Linked DNA regions of Mus musculus. The protein of the gene in region 1 purifies or fractionates together with the protein of each later gene. This does not show direct contact. Links are inferred from orthologs where the notes say so. Each region holds a gene or a part of one and is shown on either strand. Other genes may lie near its edges.

Region 1 (2,794 bases):
CAGAAGTTCAAACTTGTCATGTGCTACACAGGGAGTTCAAGGCTTGCCTAGGCTAACTACATGATCCTCAAAAAGGACTAAAAAGAAAAAAATCACTAGTTAAAACGTGGACAAGGATGACATTTTTTGTTTGAAAATAGCAGTGCTTAGACAGCATTGCAGTGCAGAGTGCTGAAAGGAGAGAGCTGGTTGTGTAAACACATGCACTGTGGTCTGATTGTTTTGTCCTACAGCAGTGGTTCTCAACCTGTGGGTTGCAGTTCCTTTGAAGGTCATGTATGCTGCATATCAGCTGTTTACATTATGATTCATGACAAAAGCAAAATTACAGTCAGGAGTTGCCACAACATGAGGAACTGTATTAAAGGGGCTCAGCACTGGGAAGGTTGAGAACCACTGTCTGAGAAGCAGAAGAGAGCCAACAAGAGCTATATATGTCTGAGGATGGTGACACGGTTGAATCAGTTACTATGCTTCTCTAAACCTTTTCCTACTGTGCAAGCTGGCTTCTCTAATACTACTCTGAAACATGATTTGACTGTGTCAGATGCTAGGTTACATTCCTGCTATGTTTGTGCTAGTTGTTTTCAGTGGGGTCTGTGTGTGTTTCAGTAGAAAGGACGTGTAGGAAAGGATGCTAACAAGACCAAGGTCAGTACCTCAGGGTGGCAGGTCTGGCACAGAGTGCAGGCCTCTGTGTGCTTCCCCCAGAGCCCTGTCTGCTCTATTCAAGGTTGCTGGTGAAGAACCAGACGTTCAAGAACTTCTGGTATTAAAGACCGTGGGGATTTCCCTCCAGGGTACTGGGTTAAAAACTCCCAAGTTGTTTGAAGCAACTGACTTTTAACTCTCCTCATTACCTTGGCTTTTGCTCAATACAGATCAAAGGCACAGCTCTCCCCTTCTGTCAAGCGCAAGAGAGAAGTCAGCCCTCCTGGAGCTCGAACGAGAGGCCAGCAGAAAGTAGACGAAAACCCTCTGAAAAAGGCAAAGCGGTAATGGTGGCTCTAGCTTTCTGACTAACAACCCAGTGGAAAGAAAATGGACAAGCCTTGCCCCATGGCCTTTTTCTTTTTTTAAAACAAGAGAAGGATCTGCATGTGCTGTAAGTTCCTAGGTGCAAGCTTGTTCATTTTATGTTTTAAACAGCTTTACAAACCATTGTTCATGGACGGTATTATGTACATTCACTTCAGATAAAGGAAGATAAGTTTACTTTGTATCAGAACTCAGCAAAGTAGTTGTATATTTTAACAGCAGAAATTGGGGTTTCCAATGTGACACATCAAGAATGGAATCCTTCCAGCCCATCAGACACCAGGCTGCCCATGGGGATCTGTGTATAGTATATAAACATGTAAAAACAGGCTGTATTTTACTCAATGTATGATGCTAATCAATGAACACTTTATTTATTTTACAGAGAAATCTTATCTGTGAACTTTACTATATATCTGTTTATTTTATTTTATTAATTTTTTTTAATAAAAAGAGGGTTTTAAATGCTATGCAGTCATTAATAGAAGAGTTCTAGGACTCCGAGTGCCCTGTAACTATTAGCATATGGCCTGGCAGGAGACAGAAATTCACGCATGCATCCGAGTAAAGTAGGTTAGCTAAAGAACGGACTCTGCTGCTTCCGTCCAAGGCCGCGACTGTTTTGTCTTTCGATTACCCTTGCCCCTGTGGCTCTACCTGCCAGCCCCATTAACGTAAGTTACCTGGCCCAGGTAAAGCCACATCTTTCACTGCAGGCAGCAAGCTCTGTGGGTTCATTGTTTTCATCTGTGTTCACCCCAAGCCTCAGCCACCATCTCCATACTGTCTGTTCAGTGAAGAGAAGTGCTTGAAGATTCACTGCTCCAGGCTATTCAGCTTCAGGATGCCATGTTTTATACAGTTCTTTCGGGATAGAAACTGGTTTTATATATAGCCAGATTCTTTTTTAAACATGATTTAACTCCCATAATGAACAAACTGTCTGACTTAAGTTTTTCATAAAATAACATTTTCTTAAGATTGGATCTGTTTCTTGCAATGATATGATCAGTTGCCAAATGATTGAAATTTTAAATGCTCTGTTCATACTCTTGTTTTATAATTAAAATTTACATTCATTATGTGTAGGTTTTTTTATTGTTTGGGGTTATGATTTTTTTGTCTTTTTTTCATTGTCTTTTTTTAAATTTTGATTTTATTTTTTGTTTTGGCTCTTGTAAGGTGGATATTCTTGTCATTTTGCATTGTTTCTTACTGAAATTTTATATATAAATTATAAAATGTTTCCCTAAAACTTGAGTGACAAGAATTTTTTTCCCCATGTCTTAAAAGCCAATGCGGTTAGAAATGAGACTGAATCCCAATAATCATTTTTGCTAGAATAGCAGTGTTAAGTTGATTGGTACATGACTAGTGCACACCTGAGCACAATCTCATTGTGAAGCCATAGAGATTGAATTTTATCCGTGAGGAAAAGCTGCCTCCTAGTAAATATGGAGCCAAGCAGTAGAACTGCATCATTGTGCTCTGGTGGAGAAGCCCATCAGCTACCTCTTAGTAATTCCCAGTGGTTCTGAAGCCAAGGGTGACTAGAGAAATGACCCTGTGGGACAGGGGATGTTGCAAGTGTGAAGAAGAGCAGTTCACAGTCATGACTTGATGCTGATAGTATTAAGCAGAGTGGAGGAGCTCAGAGCATGAGCTATCCTCGTTTACATAGTAGTCCCAGAATCCTAAGGACTACTTGGCTCAGGGGCTTAAAGGTGTGTCCACGGTTAAGACCACTTGTTGCTCT
Region 2 (3,755 bases), on another chromosome or scaffold:
TGAGACAGGGTTTCTCTGTGTAGCTCTGGCTGTCCTGGAACTCACTCTGTAGACCAGGCTGGCCTCCAACTCAGAAATCCACCTGCCTCAGCCTCCCAGGTCCTGGGATTAAAGACGTGTACCACCACTGCTCGGCTCAGAAGGAACATTTTAAAACTAGCCCAAGGGAGGTGTAACTAGGGTACTGGCCTAACACGCAGAAAGCCCTGAGTTAGATCTCCCAGCATGCTATAAACCGGTTATGGTGTGCACACCTGTAATTCCGGTACTCAGGAAATAGAGGCAAAAGGATCTGGAGTTCGAGGCCATCCTCCGTTATATAGCAAGTTCGATGTCATGCTGTCTGAAAAACAACAGGAGCCCGAATATAAAAGCGGGAAGGAACCGATCATTTCACTCTGTGCGTCGGTAGGCAAAGCGCCTGAGTCACCCCTCCTGGTTGTATTTTTCCACCTCCCACCCCTCCCAGGTTTTGGTGGATTCTAAGGGAAGCAGCCCGTTACGCCGGGCTCCGCACGCCTGGCCACGCCTCTCTCGTTAGCCCCGCCCACAACCGGATCGGCAGATTCGCTACCCGACTCCTTAGGATTATTTGGGCAGCTTTTCTTGTCTGAAAATTTTCAGGAAACGCCGAGAAGACTTCTTCCTTGTAACCATTTCGCACTAAGTAGGAAGTGTGCTGTTCCTTGAGTCGTTCTACTGAAAAAAAAAAAAATCCAGGACTAGAGGTCGACTCTGCCAACAGGGCTTGGCGAGCCAGGCGTCATTTTCTTGACTCTACAGCAGGTGAGAAGAGGTGACGGCCAAAGCCCAGGACGGTGGCGAATCTGCACTGCAGCCTCATAGGCATTCGGGCTGCGCAAGGAAGGGGCAGGGAAGAGGAGCCGAGGAGCGCGCATCCTGTCCACTCATTCGCCCCGCCCGCCTCGCGAATCTGCGTCGTTGGACGCGCCACTCAAATCTCCCGAGCTCTGGCTGGCGTCCTCCCCCTCGCTCCGCCCCCTTCCCTCAGGGGCTCGTCGCAGCTTTCGTCGCCGCCGATTCGCCAGGAACCCCAAGGCCGGAGCAGCTGGATCAGGGTGGTGCGGTCCACTCTCCGGGGAATGCGGCCCATCTTCAGGCTCCCTGGGCTACAACTCCCGAGCCTCGCAGGGCGCCGGCCGAGGCAAGGCCGCTACCCTCGGCCCCGTGGATCGCTCCGCAGTCCTTGTAGCGAAAGTGCGGATGCAGACGCTGTGCCCGCTGGGCCTCGCGCAGGTGGCGGTGGTGTTTGGTGCGCGCGCCGGGGAGGTGGTGGTGGGGGGGCGCCGCCGCCGCCACCGCTGCGGGGCCGGGTCTCGCGCTGCCGCCGCCGCCGCCGCCGCCTCACGCCGCTGAGGTGCTGCGCGCGGTGGGGGGAGGGTGAGCCGCTCGCCACGAGCGGGTGAGTAGGGCCCCGGCGCGCGTGCGCGCCGACGGGGTGGGGGGGGTGGACGACACCGAACGCGCCCGGGCGGGAGGAGAGGGCAGCGGCGCGCGTTACCTCCCCCCACCCCCCCGCCTGGATTCAGGGACCGAAGCTGGGTCTCAGATTCGGTCTCGCGGTGTTTCCAACGCCCCGAAGAGGTGCCACCTCTGGTTCGGAGGATCGGGGCGCGGGGACGCGAGCGGCTGTGTGGGAGCGGGAGCGGGGCTCGGCCCGGGCCGCTTGGCCGGTGAGGAGGCGGGAGGGGGCGGGGCCTGCGAGGGGACGGGGGAGGGGTCTTGCGTGGAGGCCAAGTGGGGCGCGCTGGGGAGAGCGGGAAGGTAAGGGGGCGCGAGATGGGCCTGGGCCCTGAGGGTAGAATTGGGGATGGAGAGGAATGGAGTGCCATAGTGAGCCCAGCTCCTCAGGGCAAGATCTGAGGGAGCCACGGGTCATGCTGAGGTGTCGGGGACTGGACTGATGTGAGACCCTGGAATCGGGGCTAGACATTGAGGGGACAGCAAGGGAGTCAGGCCTAAGTCGTGGACTCCCATTCCGTATCCCTCTTTTCCTGACAGTGTAAATGAGCAAAGATGGACCAGGAAGGTGGGGGAGACGGGCAGAAAGCCCCGAGCTTCCAGTGGCGGAACTACAAGCTCATAGTGGATCCTGCTTTGGACCCTGCTTTGCGCAGGCCTTCCCAGAAGGTGTACCGCTATGACGGAGTCCACTTCAGTGTCAGTGTGAGTGCCCTCGAGCCTTTCTTGACTTATTTGGACCTCCAATCTCCCCTCCCCGCTTCCCCCTGTTCAGTATTCAACACCCAGACTTCCTATACCTGTAGTTTGGTTTTTTGAGAATGAGCAAGCTCTCCCAGCTCTTCTGTATGTTGGCTTCTACATGGGCTTTATAGAGTCAGTAGGCTGGTGAATTTTCAGCCTGGTTTCATCTCTTCCTGCTTTCTTTGTTAGGACTCAAAGTATACCCCCGTGGAAGACCTCCAGGACCCCCGCTGTCATGTCAGGTCCAAAGCCAGAGACTTTTCCCTCCCGGTTCCTAAGTTTAAGGTGAGTGCCTGCTGGTCTCCCTGCATGTTGGTCCTTGGAGAGTGTCAAGGACCCTGGGCTTCACACAGTCTACCAAAGTGTTTATTCCGAAGGAACTATGACAGCCAGATCTCATTGCTTTTTGTGTCTGTGAGACTGAGATGTTTTGGACAGAAGGTATACATGTATAGCTGAGGTGACTCTAGTATATATCTGGTGACAAGGGTATTGATGTCTGGAAGGATGAGGTATGGGTGGGTATTCTGAAGCCTTGTGACAGTGGGATAGCCAAGTTATTCAGCAATTAAGGATGCTGCTAAGACCACTGTGCACTTGGAGTTGTGTGTTCTTGCTGTCATTGTGTGTGCTCCTCTGTCCTGTCTGTACGAGCAGCTTGCTTCCCTACTGTAATAAGATATTCTTCAAACTTCGGACTGTCTCGAAAATTGGTAGTTCTTTGTCTCCTCCTAATTTTGTTTTTGTTTTCTTTTACTGATTATTGGTAAAGTAAGTTGTGCAGTGGCTTCACCCTTCTGAATCCCCCCTTTCTTGAGCAGCTTTACTGAAAGCTCTTCTGTCTGAATGTTTATGTCTCATACCTCCTTCCTGCCAGCATCTACTGAGACACTAAAACATCATCTTTCTTCCCTGAGTCCTGCTCTCCTCACTTCCTCTTGACTGATGAATGGCAATACCAGGTACTCGGGTACCCAAGCTGGAAGCCTGGAGTCACCCAGTAGTTCTTTCCTTTCGTCTTAATCTTTAGGTTTCCATTGCCATGTTCTTCATGCAGAGTCCGATGTTTGCTCGCTTTCTGCAGCTTTCCTCAGTTTTAGGCTCCATCTTGCTGTTGTCACTGGTTTTAATGTTCTTATTTTAATTTTGTTTTCCAAGTCTGTTTTTCTTTTTTATTATATTATTTTTCATGTGTGTACATTCATAAATAAGCTTGCATGCCATTGTGCACATGTAGAAGTTAGAGCACAACTTGTGGGAATTGGTTTTCATCATGGGTCCTAGTGGTCAAACTCAAGGTTGTCAGGCTTGGTGACAAGTGTCTGTACCTACTGAGCCATATTGCTGGCATCCTAAGTCTGTTTTGAGGCATTGACATGTGTGGTTATTGATCTGGGCAGGCCTTATCACCTCTTTGACACCATATCCCTGTAATATTCCACCAGACACTTTTCAGTGTTTAGAAAATATCAAGATGGATAAATTTCATGTCTTGGAAGTTTGTTGTTTTGGTAAACTTTAAGCATCTA
Region 3 (2,600 bases), on another chromosome or scaffold:
TAGGGGGCAAGTGGGCATAGTCAGTCCTGAGACCAGTGTAGACAGGTGTGCAGACCCTGCTGGGTACCCACCAAGTGCCTTGTGCCCAGCAGAGCAAGGCTAAGATGCCTGTTACTATTCTGGCATTCTGAGCACTCCCCTGAACCCTGCGGTGCTCCCTGTGCTCCTGAGGGCAGTGAGGCATGTGCTGGGACTGCTTGTCCTAGAGTGGCTCCCTGACTACTCTCCTTTCAGATGTTGTGATTTCCACGGCTTGTCACCCGACAGAGAACATCATTGCCTCAGCAGCGTTAGAGAACGACAAAACAATCAAACTGTGGAAGAGTGACTGCTAAGTCCTGGCTCCATGGGAGACTTAAGGAAGCCACCCGGATTGGCAAGAAACACATGTGGGGCAGAGGCATGGGGCCAGGCTGGGTTGACAGGCCTGGTGCACCTCCTATCTGAAGATGTCGGCTCAGGGGAGTGCACACTACCGAGTCTTGATAGCCACTGTGATATTTCTTGCCAATTCTGTCTCTGCCTGGGGAAGTTCCTGGTCTGTTCTGTGCTCAGAGGCAACAAATTTTTAATTTTTTTATTACAAGAGTGAGTTCAGCTCCTCATGGGTTGTTTTTCTCTGTGGTTGTTGTTTTGGTATTGTATTGCCCAGTGCACACTGGAACAGGACCTACAGCCCTACTCCCATTCCCTGCCTCCTGCCCTGGCCTGCTTGTTCAATTTTCCTGCCTGTAATAGTACCCAGCGTGCTTCCATGAGTTTCTGGAAACACAGAAAGGTTGTAAGTTGTATCCGTGTCAAGTCCCTTTGTTCTTTTGGAGTTCATAGGTCAACACTGACCTCTCAGTGGTTGAAATGTCTCCTTGTCTCACTGGTATCACTCAGTAAGCTACACACACTGTAATAAAAGGTGGGTATGGACTGGGTGTGGCCCTGAGTTCTGACCAGGCTCTTTGACACCTGGCTTTATAAAGCCCTCCTCCCTTCCTGGCAGGAGTTGGAAAGGTCTCTGGGAGGATGGATCCTTGTTGTGCCTCTTCTTCCCAGTGGCTGCTGTGGGTGCTGAGTGTTGGAGAGGAAGAACCTCAGATGAGAAAGAGTGGAAGGAAGTCTTGGAAAGGCACCATGTAGTGAGGTTCTGGACCTCTTTATTCTGTGAGAGGCTCAGGGTCACCTGTGCAGGAGGGAGGAGTTCAATATGGTGCTTGCCCCAGCAGGTACAGCTTCCTGCCTTGGCCTCTAAACCCACCAAACCTCTCTTATGTCCTTGGCCCCCGCCCCAGGTCACCGCCTCAGGTGACCAGGACTGGAAAGAGGTAGTGGCCAAGCTCAGGACTACACAGCATTTTCACAACTGCTGCTGGCTGAACCCAGGGTGACCTACTGTGGAGCAGACTGCAGAGGTTCTGGGAGTACAGATGGGTGGCGGAGGCTGCTGGGCACAGACATGGGTGGAAAGGAGATTCTGGGTTTGCTCTGGTTGCAGCAGCAACCATCTGTGAGGCCAACACTGATGTGTATTGAAGCCACATCACCCAGGGCAGTAGCTGCTCTACTCTGCCTTTGCCAAGGCTTGTCCCCAGCTGTGGTCCTGACAGCCCTTTCTCCCTCCATCGTGCATAATAAGAATCCAAAGGTATTGGAAAAGAAACCCCATACATTGTCACTTCCTTGAGGGAGATGGTGTGTAAATGGGCTATCACATCGAAGAAGCCATTGTTAAAGAGGGTGGCTTGTCACACTGACATGGGCTCTGGGGCCCCTGGCGTCTGTTGGATAGATGAACCTGGGTTCTGGTCAATGTTGTGGGCATGTTGCTGGGGTTTCTGGAGGGTAGTAAGGTCCTTCCAGCTGTGGCCTGGTGTGCGGCCTCCTCCTGAGGGAGGGAGCTTGCTTGCCATGTCGAGCACAGTATCCCCGAGTATAGTTTATTTTTTCTACAGTTGAACTCTGTTGTAGATTTATGTAAAAATACATTCTCTTTTTAAAAATAAAGATTTTCATGCCTTGTAATTTTGTTCCATATAAGTTTGTTTTTTCCAGGAATTCATTCTGTGTGCATTCATTGGGTGTGTGGAGATCAGAGGATTACCTGTCATTCCCTCCCACTTGGTTGGCACTCAATAAGGATTTCTTTAGCAGAACAGGCAGTGGAGGAGCACACCTTTAGTTCCAGCACTCAGGAGGGTCTAAGTTCAAGCAAAGCCTGTCTGCGGAGCTAGTGCTAGGATTACACAAACCAAGGCTCAAATAACAACCAAAGGGAGAAAAAAAATTTTTTTTAAAGATTTATTTATTCATTATATGTAAGTACACTGTAGCTGTCTTCAGACACTCCAGAAGAGGGCGTCAGATCTCATTACGGGTGGTTGTGAGCCACCATGTGGTTGCTGGGATTTGAACTCAGGACCTCTTGAAGAGCAGTCAGTGCTCTCAAGTGCTAAGCCATCTGCTCAGCACAACCCCTCCCCAAAAAATTTGCTTTTCTTTTAGGTAATGTGCATATGTGTGATGGTTCATGTGTGTAGAGTGATGCCAGATAACTTTCTTGATAGCTCCCCACCTCAGTAGTTCTCTTACTTGAACCCAAAGCTTTCCAA

Evidence for each region.
Region 2: the proteins of Bod1l (region 1) and Setd1a purify together in Homo sapiens (affinity purification with mass spectrometry; 3 studies listed by BioGRID and IntAct, with this or other methods). This does not show direct contact. The link is inferred for Mus musculus from reciprocal best matches to the Homo sapiens genes BOD1L1 and SETD1A.
Region 3: the proteins of Bod1l (region 1) and Wdr5 purify together in Homo sapiens (affinity purification with mass spectrometry; 4 studies listed by BioGRID and IntAct, counting the BioPlex papers as one, with this or other methods). This does not show direct contact. The link is inferred for Mus musculus from reciprocal best matches to the Homo sapiens genes BOD1L1 and WDR5.

The regions. Positions count from the first base shown.
Region 1 is NC_000071.6:41,787,037-41,789,830, reverse strand, and holds the end of Bod1l (biorientation of chromosomes in cell division protein 1-like 1), read left to right. Parts: intron 1-881; coding exon 882-999; 3' UTR 1,000-2,293; downstream 2,294-2,794. UniProt on the Homo sapiens protein: Component of the fork protection machinery required to protect stalled/damaged replication forks from uncontrolled DNA2-dependent resection.
Region 2 is NC_000073.6:127,776,091-127,779,845, forward strand, and holds the start of Setd1a (histone-lysine N-methyltransferase SETD1A), read left to right. Parts: upstream 1-1,298; 5' UTR 1,299-1,423; intron 1,424-2,022; 5' UTR 2,023-2,037; coding exon 2,038-2,187; intron 2,188-2,415; coding exon 2,416-2,511; intron 2,512-3,755. UniProt on the Homo sapiens protein: Histone methyltransferase that catalyzes methyl group transfer from S-adenosyl-L-methionine to the epsilon-amino group of 'Lys-4' of histone H3 (H3K4) via a non-processive mechanism.
Region 3 is NC_000068.7:27,534,523-27,537,122, forward strand, and holds the end of Wdr5 (WD repeat-containing protein 5), read left to right. Parts: intron 1-234; coding exon 235-335; 3' UTR 336-2,013; downstream 2,014-2,600.